2 linked regions of the Xenopus tropicalis genome follow. The protein of the gene in region 1 interacts with the protein of each later gene in a pairwise test. Links are inferred from orthologs where the notes say so. Each region holds a gene or a part of one and is shown on either strand. Other genes may lie near its edges.

The links. The genes of interacting proteins can lie anywhere in the genome.
Region 2: the proteins of pnkp (region 1) and znf639 interact in binary tests that used the Homo sapiens proteins (3 or more experiments, as listed by UniProt). The two-hybrid records come from large-scale screens. The link is inferred for Xenopus tropicalis from reciprocal best matches to the Homo sapiens genes PNKP and ZNF639.

The regions. Positions count from the first base shown.
Region 1 is NC_030683.2:117,566,168-117,570,447, reverse strand, and holds the start of pnkp (bifunctional polynucleotide phosphatase/kinase), read left to right. Parts: upstream 1-1,480; coding exon 1,481-1,607; intron 1,608-2,040; coding exon 2,041-2,087; intron 2,088-2,356; coding exon 2,357-2,902; intron 2,903-3,580; coding exon 3,581-3,660; intron 3,661-3,943; coding exon 3,944-4,001; intron 4,002-4,280. UniProt on the Homo sapiens protein: Plays a key role in the repair of DNA damage, functioning as part of both the non-homologous end-joining (NHEJ) and base excision repair (BER) pathways.
Region 2 is NC_030681.2:108,913,948-108,918,092, reverse strand, and holds the start of znf639 (zinc finger protein 639), read left to right. Parts: upstream 1-1,345; 5' UTR 1,346-1,502; intron 1,503-4,145. UniProt on the Homo sapiens protein: Binds DNA and may function as a transcriptional repressor.

The sequences.
Region 1 (4,280 bases):
CCAGTCCTAATTTAACCCCTTTGCCTTGCAAGAAAGCAGTTTGGGGCATTTATTCCCGATTTTAGTTTTCCAAGGTTGGAGCCAACATGAGGCTGCAATGGAAAATATAATGTAGTTGGTAGATAAAGGGTAACACAGGGCTGGAAAGTGGGGGGAACCAAGAAAAGCGACTTTTTTATGTTACAAAAAAGAGTTCAGAGCTTTATAAACAAAGTTATATATTTAAATTTTTAGTGGGAAAAATATACTTTATTGACATTATACATAATTGTGGTGTTGGGCTGCCAAATCAAGCAGGACTGATACACGTGAGAAGTGCCACACAGCCATGCTGGGGTTTTTAGTTCAACATGTGTATTAAGGACATAAGCCCGGGATGTGAGGCAGGTGTGCCAAAGGTCCCCATATCTATAAAGCAATAAAGCTGATCTGTACTTTATATGTAAGCATTTCCATGCCTGGCTTGTTTCCTTAGGTTGCTAGGTATATGCAGTACTTAGTAGCAGAGCTAAGCTGGTCATACATGTGTATCAATACAGCTCTCATTGTGGGCCAATGCTTCTGAGAAGATGTGTGGCCACTTTTCAAGGAAATATCAGTCAGCAGCCTGATTGGGGGATGCCATATTCAGGCCAATAAGCTGCCGACTTAACCAGAAGGGGTAGAGTCAGAGCCTTTATCACTTGTGTATGGCCAGTTTAAGCCATATCCTCTGCTACATGGCAGCTCAGGTCCAGTGCCAGCCAGTAGGTGCAGTTGGTTGCAAGTCTGATGTGCATTGTGATAATGACCTTATTATTGATAAAAGCAGATATGTCGGCTATGCATGTGTGGGATCAAAATGTTAGAGATAGCCCACATTGCTCCCTATGAGTGTGTTTTCCCAAAAAGCAGGAAAGAAGGGTCATCATAGCCATTTTTAAGTTTTTAAAGTTGTAATGTGTCTCACCATCGACATAGGTACTCAAGAGGATAGGCTCAGGCTAATAAACAGTTAAGTGTTTTTTAAGAACCACTGGCTGCCCAAGTTTTCGCCTTTTCCAATCCTACAGAAAAGGCCCATCTGAGATAGTCCTGTGTAACTCACATTCTACTGGGAGTTGTAGCATGATAGTAACAGTTTAGCTGTGGCTTGTCAAGGGACAAATGGCAGGGTTAGATTATTGCCCTGAAGAAATGGAGCTAGCTGATGTCTCTGCTAAACACAATAGTATTTAGTCCTGATAAAGTCCCTAAATGTAAAGTTCATTGCTGGTTATTTGAAGCTGGGGCCAAACAAGTGAATACAATGCCTAGCATGGCCCTATCCAAATGCACTGTATTTTGGAAGATGAGGGTAGATGGGGAGGTGAGAGACATGATGATACTAAATATGTCAATGAAAGGCTTACAGTGATTGACAAGAGGGCCCTGTTCACTCTGTTGACTGTGTATTTTTGCACCCTATAATCCTAATTATAATTTCACAGAATCCGTGGAAATGAAGTGTTACTTGAGAAGCGTTGATGCAAAGCACAGTCCCATTGCCCTTCCTGATGGTAAAGGGGTCACTTTAGGAAGAGGACCAGAAACCCTTGTAACAGACAGGAAGTGTTCTAAGACTCAAGGTAGGGACCCATGTAAAAAATATATTGCTGGTGGAAAGGGTTTTCGGGGAGATTAGTCACCCGCGGTAGCAGAGATTAACCTCAGGTGCCTAAAAGGCTTTTCTTTAGAAAGGAAAGGGCCCTTTTATCCCTCAGTACAAAGGCATTGCAGAGGTAATTGTCTTCAGACCCTCCTTCATCACAGTGTGAGGGAAGGTCTGGCTTAATGGTAGAGCAGGGGCATTCCTTTACCTTATGGCTATGGAGGGTTCCTTTTCCTTGGTATCCACCAAAGCATCACCCAGGGCACAAATGCCTCAACAAAGTACAGTAAGTAGTAGGGAATCTACTCTTGACCTGTGGGACTGGAACACTTGTAGCACCTTCAACATCCTTGTGAAAAAAGTGGTTTTATGAATAAAAAATAAACATTTTAAAAAATGCTCTTTTCCAGTGGAACTTGTGGCTAATCTGGAGAACAGAGCAGTCCATGTAACCCAGGTAAGATACCTACTGTATTGGAGATGACTGATAATTGAAGCTCTATACAGCTTATTTCAGTGTAACTACTTTATCACTATCTGAAGCAACCAATCAAATGCAACACTTTGACTAGAGCATGTATCCCGGGTGACTTAATTATTTGTGTGTCTTTGACCAATGACCATGTATGTCCTTATCCAGAATCTGGCACTAATGACATTTGTTGTATGTTTATAGACTATGTTTTAGTGAGTGTAATTAACCTGACTTCATGTTTTTACTTATAGTTGGGTGCAAACCCTTGCTCAGTTGGAGAAGCAGTGCTGAAGAAGGGAGAGAGCATTTTAATGAAAGAAGATCAGACGCTTTTTTTGGTGAATAGGCTACATCCATATACTGTAATGTTTAAGGAAGATAGTCCTAAACCTGCTGCTGACACTGGAAAAATCAATAAGAAATCACCAAAGAACACCATAACTGAACCCCCTTCCACATCATCCAAGAAGACAATAACAGATTTCTTTGGGGCCTCCACATCCAAAGGAAAGAGGCGCATACAGCACGATAACACTTCCACTGGATCAAGCAACAAGAAGCCAAAGTACCAGGACCCAAAAGCTGAGGCTGGAGAAGAGTGGGATGACTCAGAAGAGGAGGAAATAGCACGCAAACTGTCTCACTTGCAGGAAACGGCGGCTAAAGCTAAGCCAAGCGAGAACCCATCTCAGGTTTCTTCAACTGATGAGAGAGGAGTTGCCTGTAGCAAAGATTCCTGGGAAGAACATGGGAAGCTTCTTCTCTTTAACAAGAAAGGGGTTCAGGCCAGTTCTAAGGTATTAAATCCATTAGTTTTCTGTTGGGTTTAAGGGCATATATAGGTCTTAAGCTGGCCTGCATGTGTCAATAATAGCTGCCAGCTTGGCCCCTCCAAATCAAGACCACTTATTCGTACATGTATGGGGCCTCTTGATATACGGGATAAGTATCTATCAGGCTGGTTTGAGAAGCCCATCCGATCAGCACCACATTGCCATGTTGATACATTCCTTACCATACTTTTCTCACCCAGGTCTCGTAAACCAAAAATTATATCAGCTTAATTAGGCCCAGTGAGTGGGTGACAAAATCATGCAAAGATCTGGCCAAACATGCAGTTCTTTAGGGTACTAGTAGCATCAACTTATCACGGCTACTAAAACAGACAATGCTGATGGTTTACTGATAAATGTCTCTACATGTGTTTTAGCAAAGGCAATTCTCAGTATTGTCTATGGCACGGTATATTCTGGCATTTACTAGCTATGATTAGTAGCTGCTACTAGTAGCTCCGTGTGTCTTTACCCTCAAGAACTGCATGTTAGGCCGGGTCACCCTTCACCCTTAAGTGTATAACCAGCTTTAGCACGGTAGCTTCTAAACAAATCTTTATTGCAGTCTGTAAGCCAATGAGTTGCACTCAGAGCATACAATGTACAAAGCAGCTATAAATCACTAACTTGTTCATCTTGCAGATTGCTGGGTTTGATATTGACGGGACAATTATAACAACAAAGTCAGGAAGAGTCTTCCCTGTAAACGCTGATGATTGGAAGTAAGTTAAAAGGAAATAAAAGCGTTCATTTTATCTCGGCATTTAAGTCTAAAACCTTTTAACACTTTTATGGGGGGAAGTAATTAAAGGCACTATGGAAAAAATAATCACAGGGCACAAAATGTATGCCTTTATGCGAACAAAATTTCCTTTGCGTGAATTTAATGTAGCTTTTGGGAGCCTGGAAACTGTTTAGCATTCACTTTCACCAGCAAGTAATATGGCAAATTTTATTGTTTGCACCAGTGCACAGTGTATAATTATGTTTCTCTTGATCTCACAGAATTTTATATCCAGAGGTTCCCAGGAAGTTAAAAGAGCTTCTAGCCAATGGCTACAAGGTATGTCTTCTGGAATTTTATGTGGGATTTATAATTCCTGGCATAGTGTGTGACATTGCCATGCTATTTAATCAGAGTTCTGCATGAAAATGTTCTCAGCACCAGTAGAAATCATTTCTAAGCAAGTGCTCAGTGGCCATGCATAGGAAACTGTTCCTGGACACAGCACATGTAAGTTAACTCCTTTATTCCCTAGCTCCAAAACATAAACAAAAAGGCAATGGGGTGAATCCCGGTATTTTGTCGCCAGCATGATGCCCTGCTAGAAATTGTCCCTCT
Region 2 (4,145 bases), on another chromosome or scaffold:
TTTGGAAAGATTTCACAGTTCCAATTTTATCATAATGAACAGCTTGTTTGGGATCTTTAATAGAGATTATAAGATGGGGTTATTGCTTTTGTCTCCTAAAGCTGGCCATACACGCACCGATACTATTGTACGAAACCTCGTTTCGTACGATATTCAGTGCGTGTATGGCATGTTGGCGAGTCGACCGATATCGCAGGAAGCTGCTGATATCGGTCGATTTGCCGATCGGACCGGTTAAAAGATTTTGATCGGGCGCCATAGAAGGCGCCTGACCAAAATCTGCCGTCAGAGCTGAATCGGCAGAAGGAGGTAGAAATCCTGTTGTTTCTACCTCCTTATCTGCTGTTTCAGCCCCGACGGTGTGTGGCGGATCTGACAATGTTTCGTGCGACCATCGCCACGTGTGTGGCCACCTTAACTTGTAGTTTCAGTCTGCATTTTAGGTGCGATTTATAGTTATAATCTCTTACTTTCTAATGTTATGTATGTAATCTGGGCTATATTAGTACAGGTATGGGACCCATTATCCAGAATGCTTGGGACCTGGGGTTTTCTGGATAAGGGGTCTTTCTGTAATTCAGATCTCCTACCTTAAGTCTACTAAAAAATTATTTAAACAGTAATTAAACCCAATAGGATTGTTTTGGCTCCAATAAGAATTAATTATATCATAGTTGGGATCAAGTACAAGGTACTGTTTTATTATTACAGAGAAAAAAGAAATCATTTATAAAAATGTAAATTATTTGATTAAAATTAAGAGTCTATGGGAGATGGCCTTTCTGTAATTTGGAACTTTCTGGATAATGGGTTTCCAGATAAGGGGTCCGATACCTGTATTTCGATTGCTGGATTTCCTTGGGTGCCCCATAATAATTTCAGCCCTGTTTCCAAGCACTGTGAAACTTCAAAACAAGTTGATACTGGAACATAATCTGTTAAAATGCTTTGCCCATTTTTTGCCTGTGTGAATGTATAACCAATGTTTTAAAATAAATAAGTAATCTATTCTCCAATCAACAGAATATGTTTCAGAGAAATGTGTATAATCTTTTGTGTTTGGGTTGAAAGATCTCCTTACTAGATGCACATGTCAGTGTCAGACTGAGGCAGCTGTAGCCACCTGAGGACCTGACTCAGAGGCGCCCCTCATACTCATATAAATCCATTTGGCTGCTTTGTAAAGCAAGTGGATTGTGACAAAGGAATGTTTTATGAACATGTAGCATGTAGCCCGTGAGCAGCCCTTCCCCTACAGAATTGCGAGCTGGCAGTCTCTCACAGCGCTTTGTGCTATGGGAGCCCAGTAGGGGGCGCTGTGACGCTTCTCGCTTCCCCGCGCCCTTCTCTTTCCATTTTGTCCGTCGTTGGTCTGGGGCCTTGGGGAGGAGTGATCTCCATGTTGGTTAAGTTCCCGGCCTGTCAGCTAGAGAAGGACATGTCCTGGGTTATTTCGATCCATTTGGTGTACGCTTAATTCCGTGGCCCTCTGAGGAACTCAGGTGAGACTCAAGATGGATGCCATAGAGGAGATGCCTTTTTTGCAATATCTTGTGCTACTTTTAATCGTGCAAATCAGTTTGCAGGGGCTAGGATTTCTCATTTTGATTCTAATTGAGGCCCAGGCATTCATTCCCTATTTTTGTATGAGGTTTAGTGATTATATTACGTGTGTGTGTTAGAGTCTCGTAATGTGTGTACAACGGACTCACGTAGTGTGTGTGTGTGTGTGTGTGTGTGTGTGTGTGTGTGTGTGTGTGTGTGTCGCACAGGCAGTGTGGCTATTATCCCAGGCTCACACACTTACATGGTGCAATTCATCATGTATACATTCACATATTCTCCTATTTCCCTATGGCTAGGAAGAATACGAGTTTGTAAATAGATCTGTCTTTGTCCCCATCAGTCATTTATTGGGACACCCGCTATATAGAGCTTGGTACCTGCACAACGAGTTCTTATTGAGCAGAGAACTTTTACAGGGAACACTCATTTCTTGCCTTTATATCTCATCATAAAGCTGTATAGTATGTAGCCTGTGTGTTGCCAGAAACACCAACTGAGCATGAGCCGTAGTAATAATAAAATAGATATCTTTGTGGGCTAATACATTCTTTATTTATTATTCACATCTCACTGTGACTTCTAATATTGGAAACCAGATTCAGGGCATTCTCTTGTATCTACTGACTAGTACTGAAGGCTGATGTCATTTTGGACATCAAAAATTGCGTACAAGTCCTTAGAACCAGTTATAGGTTCTGGTTTTAAGTCCAATCACATATACTTGAACCACAGGAATGTATGCAAGTTTTTCTTAAAGGACATGTAAAGCCTACATTTGCCTACAATGTATATCAGTTGGGCACGTCTCCCCCACCCAAATGGCATCATTTGTACTGCATATATCCCCTACGCTTGCCAGCACCATCACATTTTCCTAAAGCAAATAGCAGCTTTCACCTGGTGGCCATATTTCCTCTGATACATTTAAATCTGCAAACAGCATATACACACACACAGACCCTTATTCAGCATACATTTCATCAAGAATACAGGCTCACACAGGCACAACTGTCTTTGATAAAAGTTCTGCTTTGTTTGAGCTGAGCTAAGGAGAGGAGGTTAGGAGAAAAAAACTGAAGCCGGCAGCTACTAGGCAGCAATGCCGTCTCTTCACTGGCTGCTAGACTGGGGGGCGTGTTTAATAATCTGAGTTTAGAACAACTGAGCATGCCCACAAGCCAACAGCCAAAGCAAATTCCAGAGGGAGGGGGCCGAGTGGGTTAGAGGAGGAGAAGGAAATCTAAGTGATAAAGGGGACAACCAGTGTGCCAGGTAGTGCTGGGCGGTATACCGCCATATACCGAATACCGTTTTTTTTTTTTTTAAAAACGATATTCATTTTTGAAATACCCCCATACCGGTGAAGATCGGGGTGCGCCCGTGCGTACTGACGTCACGTACGCACGGGGCGCGACCCGAAGCGGCAACAGAAGCGGCACGGGCCGCATCGCTGGCCAACTTGCTGTATGGGGGGTGGTGCTTATAAATAATAATCCTAATTATAAGAGGAAAGTGGGGGGGAAAGCTTCCTGCTTAGCTGGTCACATGCTCCCTCTACTGGCGCCTCACTGGGACAAACCATACAAAATTGCACATTCCAAGTACAGAACTGCATGAAGCAGTGCTTCATATACCGATTTAGAACCTCTGAGGAATTGTACCAACACAAGCCTTTCCATATATTTTCAACTTTGTTCCCTGTGGATTAAATACTAATTGTTAGAGCTGGGCGGTATGACCAAAAATTTATATCACGGTATTTTTCAAAATTATATCGGTATCACGGTATTTGACGGTATATAAATAAAAAATAAATAATAAATATTGGTGGCCCCCCACCCCCCCCAACAACAACCCCAACAACCCCAGCCCCCCCCAACACCAACCCCAGCCACAACCCCCCCAGCCAGCCCCCCCAGCCACAACCCCCCCAACCCCAGCCACAACCCCCCAGCAGAACTTACCCAACTTGTTGTTCCTCCAGCTCCAGCGATGCGTCCTAGCGACGTCGCGTGCGCGCTGACGTCACATGCGCGCCGACGTCACGTACGCACGGGCGCAACCCGGATGTGATTGGAGAAAAACAGCAGGAGGCGCGCATACCGGTATAGCGGTATGTTTAAAACTCATACCATTTTTTTTTAAAAAACCGGTATACCGGTTAAACCGGTATACCGCCCAGCACTACTAATTGTCTCAATAGCAATATTTAGGGGCCCTGGCCACCAATGTTAATTGGAAAAAAAAATACCGTCAAATACCGTGACACCGATATAATTTTGAAAAATACCGTGATATAAATTTTTGGTCATACCGCCCAGCCCTAGTGCCAGGTATTTAAAGATTTCAAAGAGGCTGTTCACTGATTACGTTTTTGTGTGTGGGGTTTACATGTCCTTTAACATAGTGCCTTGTGTGCATACAAAGAAAAAAAAAAGTCCCAGACTGTTCTGAATGCTGAAGACTTATTTTTCAATTAGGCCATCATTCAGGAATTTTCTTTTTTTACAAGCAGACTAGTGGGCTACATAGATGGAGGCTAAAGGGTGCAGAGCTGCTTTAATGTGTGCAGCCTTTGC